3 linked regions of the Macaca fascicularis genome follow. The protein of the gene in region 2 interacts with the protein of the main gene of each other region in a pairwise test. Links are inferred from orthologs where the notes say so. Each region holds a gene or a part of one and is shown on either strand. Other genes may lie near its edges. The genes, in order: ELOA, GMCL1 and CUL3.

What was found.
Region 1: the proteins of GMCL1 (region 2) and ELOA interact in binary tests that used the Homo sapiens proteins (3 or more experiments, as listed by UniProt). The two-hybrid records come from large-scale screens. The link is inferred for Macaca fascicularis from reciprocal best matches to the Homo sapiens genes GMCL1 and ELOA.
Region 3: the proteins of GMCL1 (region 2) and CUL3 interact in binary tests that used the Homo sapiens proteins (3 or more experiments, as listed by UniProt). The two-hybrid records come from large-scale screens. The link is inferred for Macaca fascicularis from reciprocal best matches to the Homo sapiens genes GMCL1 and CUL3.

The regions. Positions count from the first base shown.
Region 1 is NC_088375.1:211,358,839-211,362,486, reverse strand, and holds part of ELOA (elongin-A), read left to right. Parts: intron 1-1,186; coding exon 1,187-1,367; intron 1,368-1,616; coding exon 1,617-1,728; intron 1,729-2,296; coding exon 2,297-2,469; intron 2,470-3,648. UniProt on the Homo sapiens protein: SIII, also known as elongin, is a general transcription elongation factor that increases the RNA polymerase II transcription elongation past template-encoded arresting sites.
Region 2 is NC_088387.1:52,113,810-52,117,492, reverse strand, and holds the start of GMCL1 (germ cell-less protein-like 1), read left to right. Parts: upstream 1-813; 5' UTR 814-990; coding exon 991-1,250; intron 1,251-3,683. UniProt on the Homo sapiens protein: Possible function in spermatogenesis. Enhances the degradation of MDM2 and increases the amount of p53 probably by modulating the nucleocytoplasmic transport.
Region 3 is NC_088386.1:120,534,110-120,537,857, reverse strand, and holds the start of CUL3 (cullin-3), read left to right. Parts: upstream 1-1,334; 5' UTR 1,335-1,702; coding exon 1,703-1,768; intron 1,769-3,748. UniProt on the Homo sapiens protein: Core component of multiple cullin-RING-based BCR (BTB-CUL3-RBX1) E3 ubiquitin-protein ligase complexes which mediate the ubiquitination and subsequent proteasomal degradation of target proteins.

The sequences.
Region 1 (3,648 bases), on a different chromosome or scaffold from region 2:
CCTTGAGCTTGCCTAGTCATGAAGGTCAAGGGAGAATTCTGGCAGCAGAGCAGCTGGGACCCAGGGTGGGTAAAGCACTTTGTGTTGACACTGACATCTGGTGATTGACTGGATGTCTCTTAAGAGACATCAAGATCTATCCAGAAATCCTCCTTAGGATATAGGTATACACATTTGATTGCATCAGCTATCTCTCTTTAATTCTGAGAGTTCTCTGACCTAACATCTTTTTTTTTTTTTTTTTTTTTTTTTTTTTGAGACAGGGTCTACCTCTGTTGCTTAGACTCTGCAGTACAGTAGCCTAATCATGGCTCACTGCATCCTTGAACTCCTGGGCTTAAGTGATTCTCCCAAGTAGCTGGGACTACAGGCACATACCACCACACCTGGCTAATATTTTTATTTTTCGGAGAGATGGACTCTTAGACTCTTGGCCTCAAGTGATGTCCCATCTTGGCCTCCCGAAGTGCTGGGATTACAGGCATGAGCCACTGCGTCTGGCCAATAACTTAACATCTTTCTTAGGTTGCCCCCTGCCATCACAGTTCAGCATACTGAACTGTGGGAAGTACCTGATTGGACTTGATCACAGTTCTACCCTTTGCTGATTTTCTAAAGGAAAAGACTGATCTTACACTAATTTTTGTGATATCCTGTCACAGCCACCAAAAGCAGCTAGCCTAGTGCCTCACACTTAGCATTTTTAAAATTTAGTGAGTTATTTTTTCCTAGAATTGTGGTATTTTAACATACTACTACGACAAAGACCAAAAAATTATTAGGAAACTGGTCACTCCTAGGTAATTAAAGAATCAGAAAAAGATATGGGGCCGGGCGTGGTGACACACGCTTGTAATCCCAGCACTTTGGGAAGCTAAGGTGGGTGGATCACTTGAGGTCAGGAGTTCAAGGCCAGCCTGGCCGACATGGCGATACCCCGTCTCTACTAAAAATATAAAAAATTAGCTGGGCATAGTGGTAAGCACCTGTAGTCCTGGCTACTTGGGAGGCTGAGGCACAAGAATCGCTTGAACCCAGGAGGCAGGGGTTGCAGTGAGCCGAAACTGCACCACTGCACTCCAGTCTACGCGACAGAGCAAGGCTCTGTCTCAAAAAAAAAAAAAAAAAGATAGTGCTTGTACATAAAAGTGCTTGTACATAAATGATGTCCTGGTTCTGGTTTCAGGTATTAATTGAAGAAACAGATCAATTATGGAAAGTTCACTGTCACCGAGACTTTAAGGAAGAAAGACCCGAAGAATATGAGTCGTGGCGAGAGATGTACCTGCGGCTTCAGGATGCCCGAGAGCAGCGGCTACGAGTACTAACAAAGAACATCCAATTCGCACATGCCAATAAGCCCAAAGGTAACAGAGACGGGAGAGCTGGGGTAGAACTGGCAGGATGAGTGTTCTGGTCAATAGCAGGGTCTTGGTGGGCTTGGCTGGTGTGGGACTGCTGGCCCCTACATCAGGTAGCAGGGTGGGTATTTCTTCTGCCACAGCCCATGCTACCCTATAGTGGGGTTTCAGGGCAGTGGAAAACCCCGTGGATTATTTAAATAACAGTAGCGTCTCTGCTCAAGAAGGCAGATGTTCATCTCCATAATTCTACAGGCCGACAAGCAAAGATGGCCTTTGTCAACTCTGTGGCCAAGCCACCTCGTGACGTCCGGAGGAGGCAGGAAAAGTTTGGAACTGGAGGAGCAGCTGTCCCTGAGAAAATCAAGTAAGAACTGTGTTCTTACCTGGCTTTTGTGTGCTATCAACCCTTAAGAGGTAGCCATAGCGGCAGGAAGCAAATTGCTTTTGGTGAAAGCAAGGCAGTGCAGAAGGTGGACTCTGGAGGCAGACCTCATCAGCTCAGCACTTCCCTCACCTCCCTCAGCCTCTGCTTCTTGGACTGCAGTGCAAGGTGATAATTTCTCCTGCCCTAGGGTAGTCAAGATTAAATGGAGAGCAAAGCCTGACTTATGGGAAACATTCCCTTATGCTTTCCCTTTTCTCATCTAAACAAAAAACACATTTCTGCAATGACTGTTATTTTGTCTAAGCCACATTAGCATTTTCAAAATACAGATTTATACCAAAACAGTGAAAAGTTAGTTGAGATTATCATTTATTCTGAAAGGATAATGCAGACACCTCTGAGCCACCACCAGAATCCAGGGTGCTAGGGTCCACTGGTCAAAGCCACAAACAGGGTAAGTCATCCTCACACGGGCCAGCTTCAGGCTCTTCATGCTCAGGGCAGATTTCTTGTGCTCATGACTAACCAGTGTTGTCCTGTGTTGCAGGATTAAGCCAGCCCCGTACCCCACGGGAAGCAGCCATGCTTCCGCCAGTAGCAACAGCTTTAACCCCAGCCCTGAGGAGCCGGCCTATGATGGCCCAAGCACCAGCAGTGCCCACTTGGCACCAGTGGTCAGCAGCACTGTTTCCTATGATCCTAGGAAACCCACTGTGAAGAGTAAGTAACTTGGAGTTCCTGCTCAAATATTATTTCAGAACTAGTTTTTAACTCTCAATGTCATTATTCACTGTATTACATTTTGTGGACTGCATGTTGCATGTGCATGATGCCTTGCACATAGCTGGTCTGAATGTCAGTCCCTCCTTCCCTCTGCTTTGTCCATAGTGCACTATATCTTTTAAATAATTATAGTGAGTCCAGGTGCGGTGGCTCATGCCTGTAATCCCAGCACTCTGGCAGGCTGAGGCAGGAGGATCCCTTGAACCCAGGAGTTCAAGACCAGCCTGAGCAACATAACGAGACCCTCTCTCTACAAAAAATTTTAAAATTGGGCATAGTGGTACATGTCTGTAGTCCCAACTACTCAGGAGACTGAGGTGGGAGTATCACTTGAGCCTAGGAGGTCGAGGCTTCAGTCAGCCTAGATTGTACCACCGCACTCTAGCCTGGATGACAGACGCTGTCTCTCTTTTTTTTTTTTTTTTTTTGAGACGGAGTCTTGCTCTGTCACCCAGGCTAGAGTGCAGTAGCACGATCTCAGCTCACTGCAAGCTCCGCCTTCTGGGTTCACACCATTCTCCTGCCTCAGCCTCCTGAGTAGCTGGGACTACAGGTGTCCACCACCATGCCTGCCTAATTTTTTCTATTTTTTAGTGGAGACAGGGTTTCCCCGTGTTAGCCAGGATGGTCTCAATTTCTTGACCTCGTGATCCGCCTGCCTTAGCCTCCCAAAGTGCTGGGATTACAGGCGTGAGCCACCGTGCCCAGCTGGGTTTTCCAAATATTTATTCTTTATATCCAGTTGCGTCTATTTTGTATTTTGTTAACTTTATTACCATAGACTATCCCCAGTATCCTAAGGGGATGTCCTAACTTAAGTCTTATTCTGTATTAATTGCAGGGCCTATGGGAGGGTAGGAGTCCTGGTTTGAGCAGCAGCTATGCTCAGATTAACCATTCAGGAGGCAGGCTGGCCCTCCTTAGGCAGTACTTGCAGAGCCACCTTAGACCTGTTTCTACACTGGACAGATTAGGGGTAGACGTGATGTTTACTGGTTTGGCTATTTGTGAGGCAGTTATGACTGAGTATGGCCTTTAGAGTCTGGCAAGGGCCAGGGCGCAGTGGTTCACACACACCTGTCATCCCAGCATTTTGGGAGGCTGGGGTAGGAGGAT
Region 2 (3,683 bases):
AAAAAAGAATGAAACCAAGTATGATAAAATTTCAAGCTAGTGGTGGGTCCACAGGAGAAATATTTTTATTATTTTACTTAAAAAGTAACAGAAGGGAGTCAGGGAGTGAACGCTCGCTGTCCGGAGTCCATCACAAGAGCAGCTCCTCCAGGCAGACACTTGTCAATTTTGCTAGGGCCTCCTGAAGGCACTTTTTTGAGTACGGACAGTCATGGTGCCAGACCCTATTCGGACATCCCACTGGCACTTGATAGGAAAGAAAAGGAGTGCCGGGAACGTTCCCATAACTTAACGGGTTCCTTTCACGTCTACAGCAGGGTAGGGCTACAGTTAAGGAAGCCCAGGAATCCAGCATAGCGCCTCATCCTAGGGCCCCTCTCACAGGAGGCCACGCCCAACAAAGCAGAGCGCGGCCCCAGCAAGCGCCGAGCTCCCGCAAGGAGACCAAATAGCTTCGGGGTTTTGCCACTTGCTTAGCACAGGCCCATAAGCACCGGGGGCTCAAGGCACCTTTGTAGAAAGAATGCGCGACTGAAGTTCCAAGTCTTGCCACTACAAAGGCGTGTGTGAACTACGGCTTAACACTGCGTCTACGCCTAAGTTCACGTTAGTTGGAAGCCAGGCCCACCGCAGGCCCGAAAACACCCGCCCGTACGAGCACGCCGCGTTGTGCGCAGGCTCCACCTGCCACGCACGCACGCCTGCCTTGCCCCGCCCCTTCCGGAGGCTCGCCACACGCATGCGCCCGCCGGCGCGCGCTTTGTTACGAAAGCGAGGGGGCGAGGTTCTGCGGTGCTAGCGCGCGGAGCGACCAGAAGCTGCGGGCGGGGCGGAGGATGGAGGCTGTAGCGTCCGCTGCAACGGTTGGGGCTGCGCGTGAGAAGGTGGCGGTGTAGGCATCTGCGCTCGGGGAAGGCTGGCGGCGGCGGCCGGGCCATGGCGGGAGACCCCCTTCTCTGGGCTCCCTGAAGTCTCGGGGAGCCGTGACCCATGGGATCGTTGAGCAGCCGGGTGCTGCGCCAGCCTAGACGAGCCCTTGCCCAGCAGGCGCAGGGTGCCAGGGCGGGGGGCTCGGCCCGGAGGCCGGACACTGGAGACGATGCGGCGGGCCACGGCTTCTGTTACTGTCCGGGCAGCCACAAGCGCAAGCGGAGCAGCGGGGCCTTCTGCTACTGTCACCCTGACTCGGAGACGGATGAGGATGAGGAGGAGGGGGACGAGCAGCAGCGGCTCCTCAACACCCCTCGAAGGTACGTGGGGGCACGCACTCGCGCGGACCCGGACCCGCACCTGTTGGGCCTGGGGCCGAGCCGGCGCCCGGTGCGCTTGCGGGGTGCAGCGCTCCCCAGCCTATGAAGAGGGGTCGTGCCCTTGACAAGTGAATGTGGAAGCCGGCCCGATGCCGGGCGGACGGGGGAGCGCCTTGGGAGACGCCTGGTGTTCTGCATTTTTAACCACAGACGCTTCCAGGGTGTTGTTACAGCCCCAAGATGAGGATGAGAAACGCCAAGCCCGAGCTCGCGTCTCGTTAAACCTTAGAGACGCCCGACTGGCTGGCCTTACCAGTCCACCTTTGCCCTCTCAAGTGGGTAGCCGCAGACTAAGTTGTTTTGCATCCGGTTGCTTTAGTACAGACACTAAATGTAATCTCTGAAATGGGCACTCTTACTGTCGCCCACTCAGTGGAGGGGAAATAATTGCACACAGGAGTTCTCGTTAATCGTAAAGGTGAAGTTTATCAATAGTGTACATTTGTTCCTAACCAGGAACAGAGTTTGTGCAAGTTTCTAGCAGTTGATGTCGTTGACCGTGGATGTACTGTATGTAGGGCGGTGCTGCTGCAGCTTGCTTACCTGTTTTTTTTTTTTTTTTTTTTTGATGAGTTGAAAGATGGAATATTGACTTGTGACCTGGAATTGGAATGTAGTTTATGGGTAGAATATATTCTTACACAAACAATTTGGTTTTTCTGCTTTTGTTTTTAAAGGTGATTTGGTAGGGTCACAGATGAAATTTTTTTAATGATTTCTTTTTCTTTTTTTCTTTTTTTTTTTTTTTTTTTGAGACGGAGTCTTGCTCTGTCGCCCAGGCTGGGGTGCAGTGGCCGGATCTCAGCTCACTGCAAGCTCCACCTCCCGGGTTTACGCCATTCTCCTGCCTCAGCCTCCCGAGTAGCTGGGACTACAGGCACCCGCCACCTCGCCTGGCTAGTTTTTTGTATTTTTTAGTAGAGACGGGGTTTCACCGTGTTAGCCAGGATGGTCTCGATCTCCTGACCTCGGGATCCGCCCATCTCGGCCTCCTAAAGTGCTGGGATTACAGGCTTGAGCCACCGTGCCCGGCCTCTTTTTCTTTTTTTATTTTTCAGACAGAGCCTTGCTCTGTCACCCAGGCCGGAGTGCAGTGGTGCGATCTCAACTCACTGCAACCTCCACTTCCTGGTTCAAGCGATTCTTGTGCCTCAGCCTCCCGAGTAGCTGGGACTACAGACACGCACCACCATGCCTGGCTAATGTTTTCTATTTTTAGTAGAGACAGGTTTCATCATGTTGGCCAAGCTTGTCTCAAACTCCCAACCTCAGGTGATCTGCTGGCCTCATCCTCCCAAAGTGCTGGAATTATAGGCGTGAGCCACTGCGCACCCAGCGTAAAATTAAACTTTATGAGCAGATTCAAAAAGGTTTTGCTATACAAGTGTTGCATATTGTAAAAAAGGAATCATAGATTAAAAACTCAATAGTTTGGTTTATAAAACCTTTTGTACCTTTTTTTATGAATATTTTTATTTATTTACAAAAATGGACCCCTACTGTGAATACTATTCAGTAACTTTTTTTGTTGTTTATTTGATTTTTGGAGTTTTTTTCTAAAGAGACAGGGGTCTCACTATATTGCCCAGGGTGGTCTCAAACACCTGGGCTGAAGCGACCCTCCCACCTCAGCCTCCCAAAGTGCTCAGATTACAGGTGTGAGCCACCATGCCTGACCCTGTAACCTTTTTGAAGAGTCAGTGTAGCATAGTTTTTTTTTTTTGGAAAATTTTTTTTCTTTTTTGAGACAGGGTCTCGCTCTGTCGCCCAGGCTGGAATGCAGTGGTGGGATCATGGCTCACTCCACCTCGACCTCACAGACTCAGGCGATTCTCCCACCTCAGCCTTCTGTGTAGCTGAGACCACAGGCATGCACCACCACACCCAGCTAATTTTTTTATTTGTAGAAACAAGGTCTCACTCTGTTGCCCACCCAGGCTGGCCTTGAACTCCTGGGTTCAAGTGATCCTCTTGCCTTGACCTCCCAAAGTGTTGGGATTACAGGTGTGAGCCACCGTTGCCAACCTGTGGCATAGTTTTAAGAGTTCAAATTCTGAGTTCTTGGCCAGGCGCAGTGGCTCATGCCTATAATCCCAGCACTTTGGGAGACTGAGGCAAACAGATCACCTGAGGTCAGGAGTTCAAAACCAGCCTGGCCAACATGGCGAAACTCTGTCTCTACTAAAAATATAAAAATTAACCAGGCGTGGTGGCGGGCGCCTGTAATCCCAGCTACTTGGTACGCTGAGGCAGAAGAATGGCTTGAACCTGGGAGGCGAGGTTGCAGTGAGCCGAGGTGGCACAACTGCACTCCAGTCTGGGTGACAAAGTGAGACTCCATCTCAAAAAAAAAAAAAAAAAAATCTGACTTCT
Region 3 (3,748 bases), on a different chromosome or scaffold from region 2:
GGATTAAGTTAATTTAGGGCAAATTCAACCTTATAGTCAACAAATAAGTGTATTTCACTTTATATTAAGTTTGTTATGTAAAAGTATTAAAATACCAGCTTCTAAATGTAGCTATCCATCCCCCAAACAGATGCTTCTTTAAAATAGGAAGAACACAAACTTTAGTTGGAACTCACATATTCCCTTGCAGAGTCAGAAACCCAAACATAACAGCAATTGGGCAAGTAGGTAAATGAGGAAGTACAATTCATAATAAATGGACAGCAAAACCGATGAGTCAAATTAGACATTTTGACTATAAAGCGACCAAACGCCTCTCCCCAAAAACCAAAAGCCAAAACCTTTTCAAATATACAGCAACTGAATCAGACGGTAATTTTGGCTTTAAAAATCTACAATACTCTTGGTAATGCTAGAAATGATTTATCTGGTAGGTTAAAGTTAGGTATCTATCATTCCACTTAACATCATTTACCAAATGCTGCATTTCATTAATGGAGCTGTCAGTTTATTCTGATGGTAATGAAAAACAGGTTTTAACATTAATAAGCCCTGGGTCCACCAGAAAATAACAGTGAATCAAGAGGTCCTGAGGTTTATGCAGTTTAAGGTAACTCTGTAGATTAAATTTCCACCCTCCAGTCCTGAGAGCTGTGGTGTACACCCTCAGTCCGAATACCTTGTTGAGCATACAGGACAGTCATTTCCGACACTGCAGGTATCTCCTGCACAGACTCTTCATTCAAGTTGCTGGCTTCTGCTCAAGTACCCATCCCTAGCCCACATGCCCTAGAAAAACACAGGAACCAGTTCGGGACGTAGTTATGCATCCAGCACCCCACGCTACTCCCCAAGACTATCCTCCTGCCATCCCAGCTCAGTGGGGCCCAGCCCACTACAATCCAGCTCCCGCTCTCCGAACTTCCCCCGCCCACTCTCCCCACGTGACCAGGACCCTCCCAACCGCCGCCTCGAGTTCCACCAATCAGCAACCACCTCCGCCCAGAATCCGGGACCTGGCGCTCCTCTTTCAAAAAGGCAGCTTAATCCTCCCGCCCTCAGCCACGCCCCCTTTCCGCTTCCCCGCCCCGCCGGTCCCTCCCACTTCCCTCAATTCCCTGTTCCCCTCCTCCCCTCCGGTGGCGCCCTCCCGCTCCCGGGCTTCGCCCCGCCCCACCAGGGCAGCGCGCTCGCTCTCTTCTCGCGAGATCTGAGCGTCCCCGCCGCGGCCGCCGGGCTCCCCCTCCCGTCCTCCCACCTCCCTCCCCCGGCATCTCTCACTCTCCGGCTCTCCTCCCTCCCTCCTCCCCCCTCCACCCTCTGGGCCGGATCTCGTCTCGCTCAGGCGGAGGAGGAGAAGGAGGAGGAGGAGGACGACGTTCGGCCTGCGCAGTGAGATGTTTGTCCGTCGCCGCCGCCGCCGCCATCGCGGAGGAGCGCGATAAAGGGAGCAGAGCCGGGCGTGAGGGGGACCCTGCGGAGCCACCGCGCCAGCGCAGCCCCCCAGCCGCGTCGGAGCAGCCGGAGCCCGAGCCGCCGCCCCCGCCGCCGCCGCGGCTGCCCAGGGGCCGGCCAGCTCCCCAGCCCTGCCCGGGGGCCGCGCCGCCCCCAGCGTCGCCCCTCGCCTGCCTGCCCGCCTTAAATGTGACACCGGCGTCGCGGAGCGCGACCTGAAGCCGCCGCCGGGGAGGGGACGAGCACCATGTCGAATCTGAGCAAAGGCACGGGCAGCCGGAAGGACACCAAGATGCGGATCCGGGCCTTTCCGGTGAGTCTCTCCTCGGCGTCCGGGACCCCGGGGCCGGGGGCCGGGCCGAGAGCCGCACGCGAGGCCCGGGCTGAAGTCCCCCAACAGGCCGCAGGCCCGGCCTCCCCTCCCCCACGCTCGCCGGCCGCGGGGCGCGAGCCTTCCCGGCAACCGGGCGGCGCGGGGCCCCGGCGCGGCCGCCCTCCCGGGCCGTTCCCCGCGCCGGGAGTCCGGGCCTGGCGCCGCGCCCCCGTCCGGGAGTTGCTTCTTGAGCCGCTCCACGGGCGTCGGCTGCGGCCGGGGCCCCTCGGCCGCCCCACGCCTCCCCACGTTGCTGGGGTTGTAGGCCCAGGCTCCGGCGCTGTTAGCAGCGGCGAAGTCCTCCCTGTGTGGGGCGTGTGTGGAACTTTTCACGTGGGGTTTCGTTACACTTTCAAAAATTACCCAGTCTAGCTTGTAGGGTGATGAAGGGGCTGCCCTCTCACTCTGCCCCCCTCCCCAGGCGGGGCTGTGCCATCAACCTGCCCCCGAAGCAGTGACAGTGGTTCCACGGAATGCTCAGTGGTCATAAACTAGTAACATTGGGTGTATTTCTAGCGTCTTTCATCCTACAAGCCTCCTAAACACTTTACAAACTGTTGTGCAGGATTGCCTCGCCACTCGGAGGAAGGCCGGGTGGGAGGAAGCAACAGAGATCAAACCGGACAATTGGTTCTCCATTTCTCAGCCTTGGGAGCCCAAAGAATGAGTGTAGTCGCCTTGCAGAGTTGCTTTCTTTCATCACTTTCAGTGACAGCAAACGTGTTGTGTTCAGAAACCTTTTCTTTTTTGGCATTACGTTGTGTCGTAGCCTTGTGGTGTTTAGCATATAGGGTATAACTTTGGGTGTCATATCTGGTTCGTCCACACTATGGCAAGCAATTAAAATGTATTGTTGTTAACAAACTGGACATACTTGCCTATGTCGCTACAATAAAAGGCGTACGTCAAGACAGACGAACTAGCAATCGGACAGAAGATTTTAAAAAACAAAATTAGAGAAAGATCTTGGTCTTCCCTTCTTAGATTCATAAATACTTCGTATGATGTGCAGGCGAAAGAGGGAAGTTTGTTGTCACTTTTTAAAGAGAGCTTTTCCTGAAGTGCAGTTGCCTGAGAAAATACTTATATTAATATGATTGCCCCAGTTGAGTCAAGTAATTTAGTCTCAGAGAACATGAGGACCTCTCTGAATTCCTAAAATTTAAAAGGATACAGCTCATGCAGAATTCTGAAATTGCAAGAACATAAATACTAAAATCAGTGTGCGAAAACCTCTGCTTTGTGTAAATAGGTACGGTGTATTTAGGAGAATTAAGTGTTTTGATAATAATTAAAGATTTTTGGAATGTTTCGAACTTTTTTCTAAGTAAACATGAGAAATGTTGACAATAGAGTACTAACGAAGCTTACTAGTATGTTTTCCCTTATGATTGGGCACAGAGCTGGGTTATGAATTTGTGATTAATATTAATTTTCCTACTAAATTCTGATCACTTTAGAGTTTAGAACTACTTAGAATTTTATGAAGTTAATAGTTTTATACGACAGGTTTTCTTTTTCTTTTCTTTTTTTTTTTTTTTTTTTGAGACAGTTTCGCTCTTGTTGCCCAGGCTGGAGTGCAATGGCGCGATCTCAGCTCCCAGCAACCTCCGCCTCCTGGGTTAAAGCGGTTCTCCTGCCTCAGCCTCTGAGTAGCTGGGATTACAGGCAGGCGCCACTATACCCGGCTAATTTCGTATTTTTAGTAGAGACGAGGGTTCTCCCTATTGGTCAGGCTGGTCTCGAACTCCCGACCTCAGATGATCCACCCACCTCGGCCTCCCAAAGTGCTGGGATTACAGGCGTGAGCCACCGCGCCCGGCCTATACAACAGATTTTCTAGGAGTGTTTGCGGCCTTACACTACTCAATTCTTGAAGTCTTACGTTCTGAATAAGATTTTTTGCTAAAATGTGGAGGA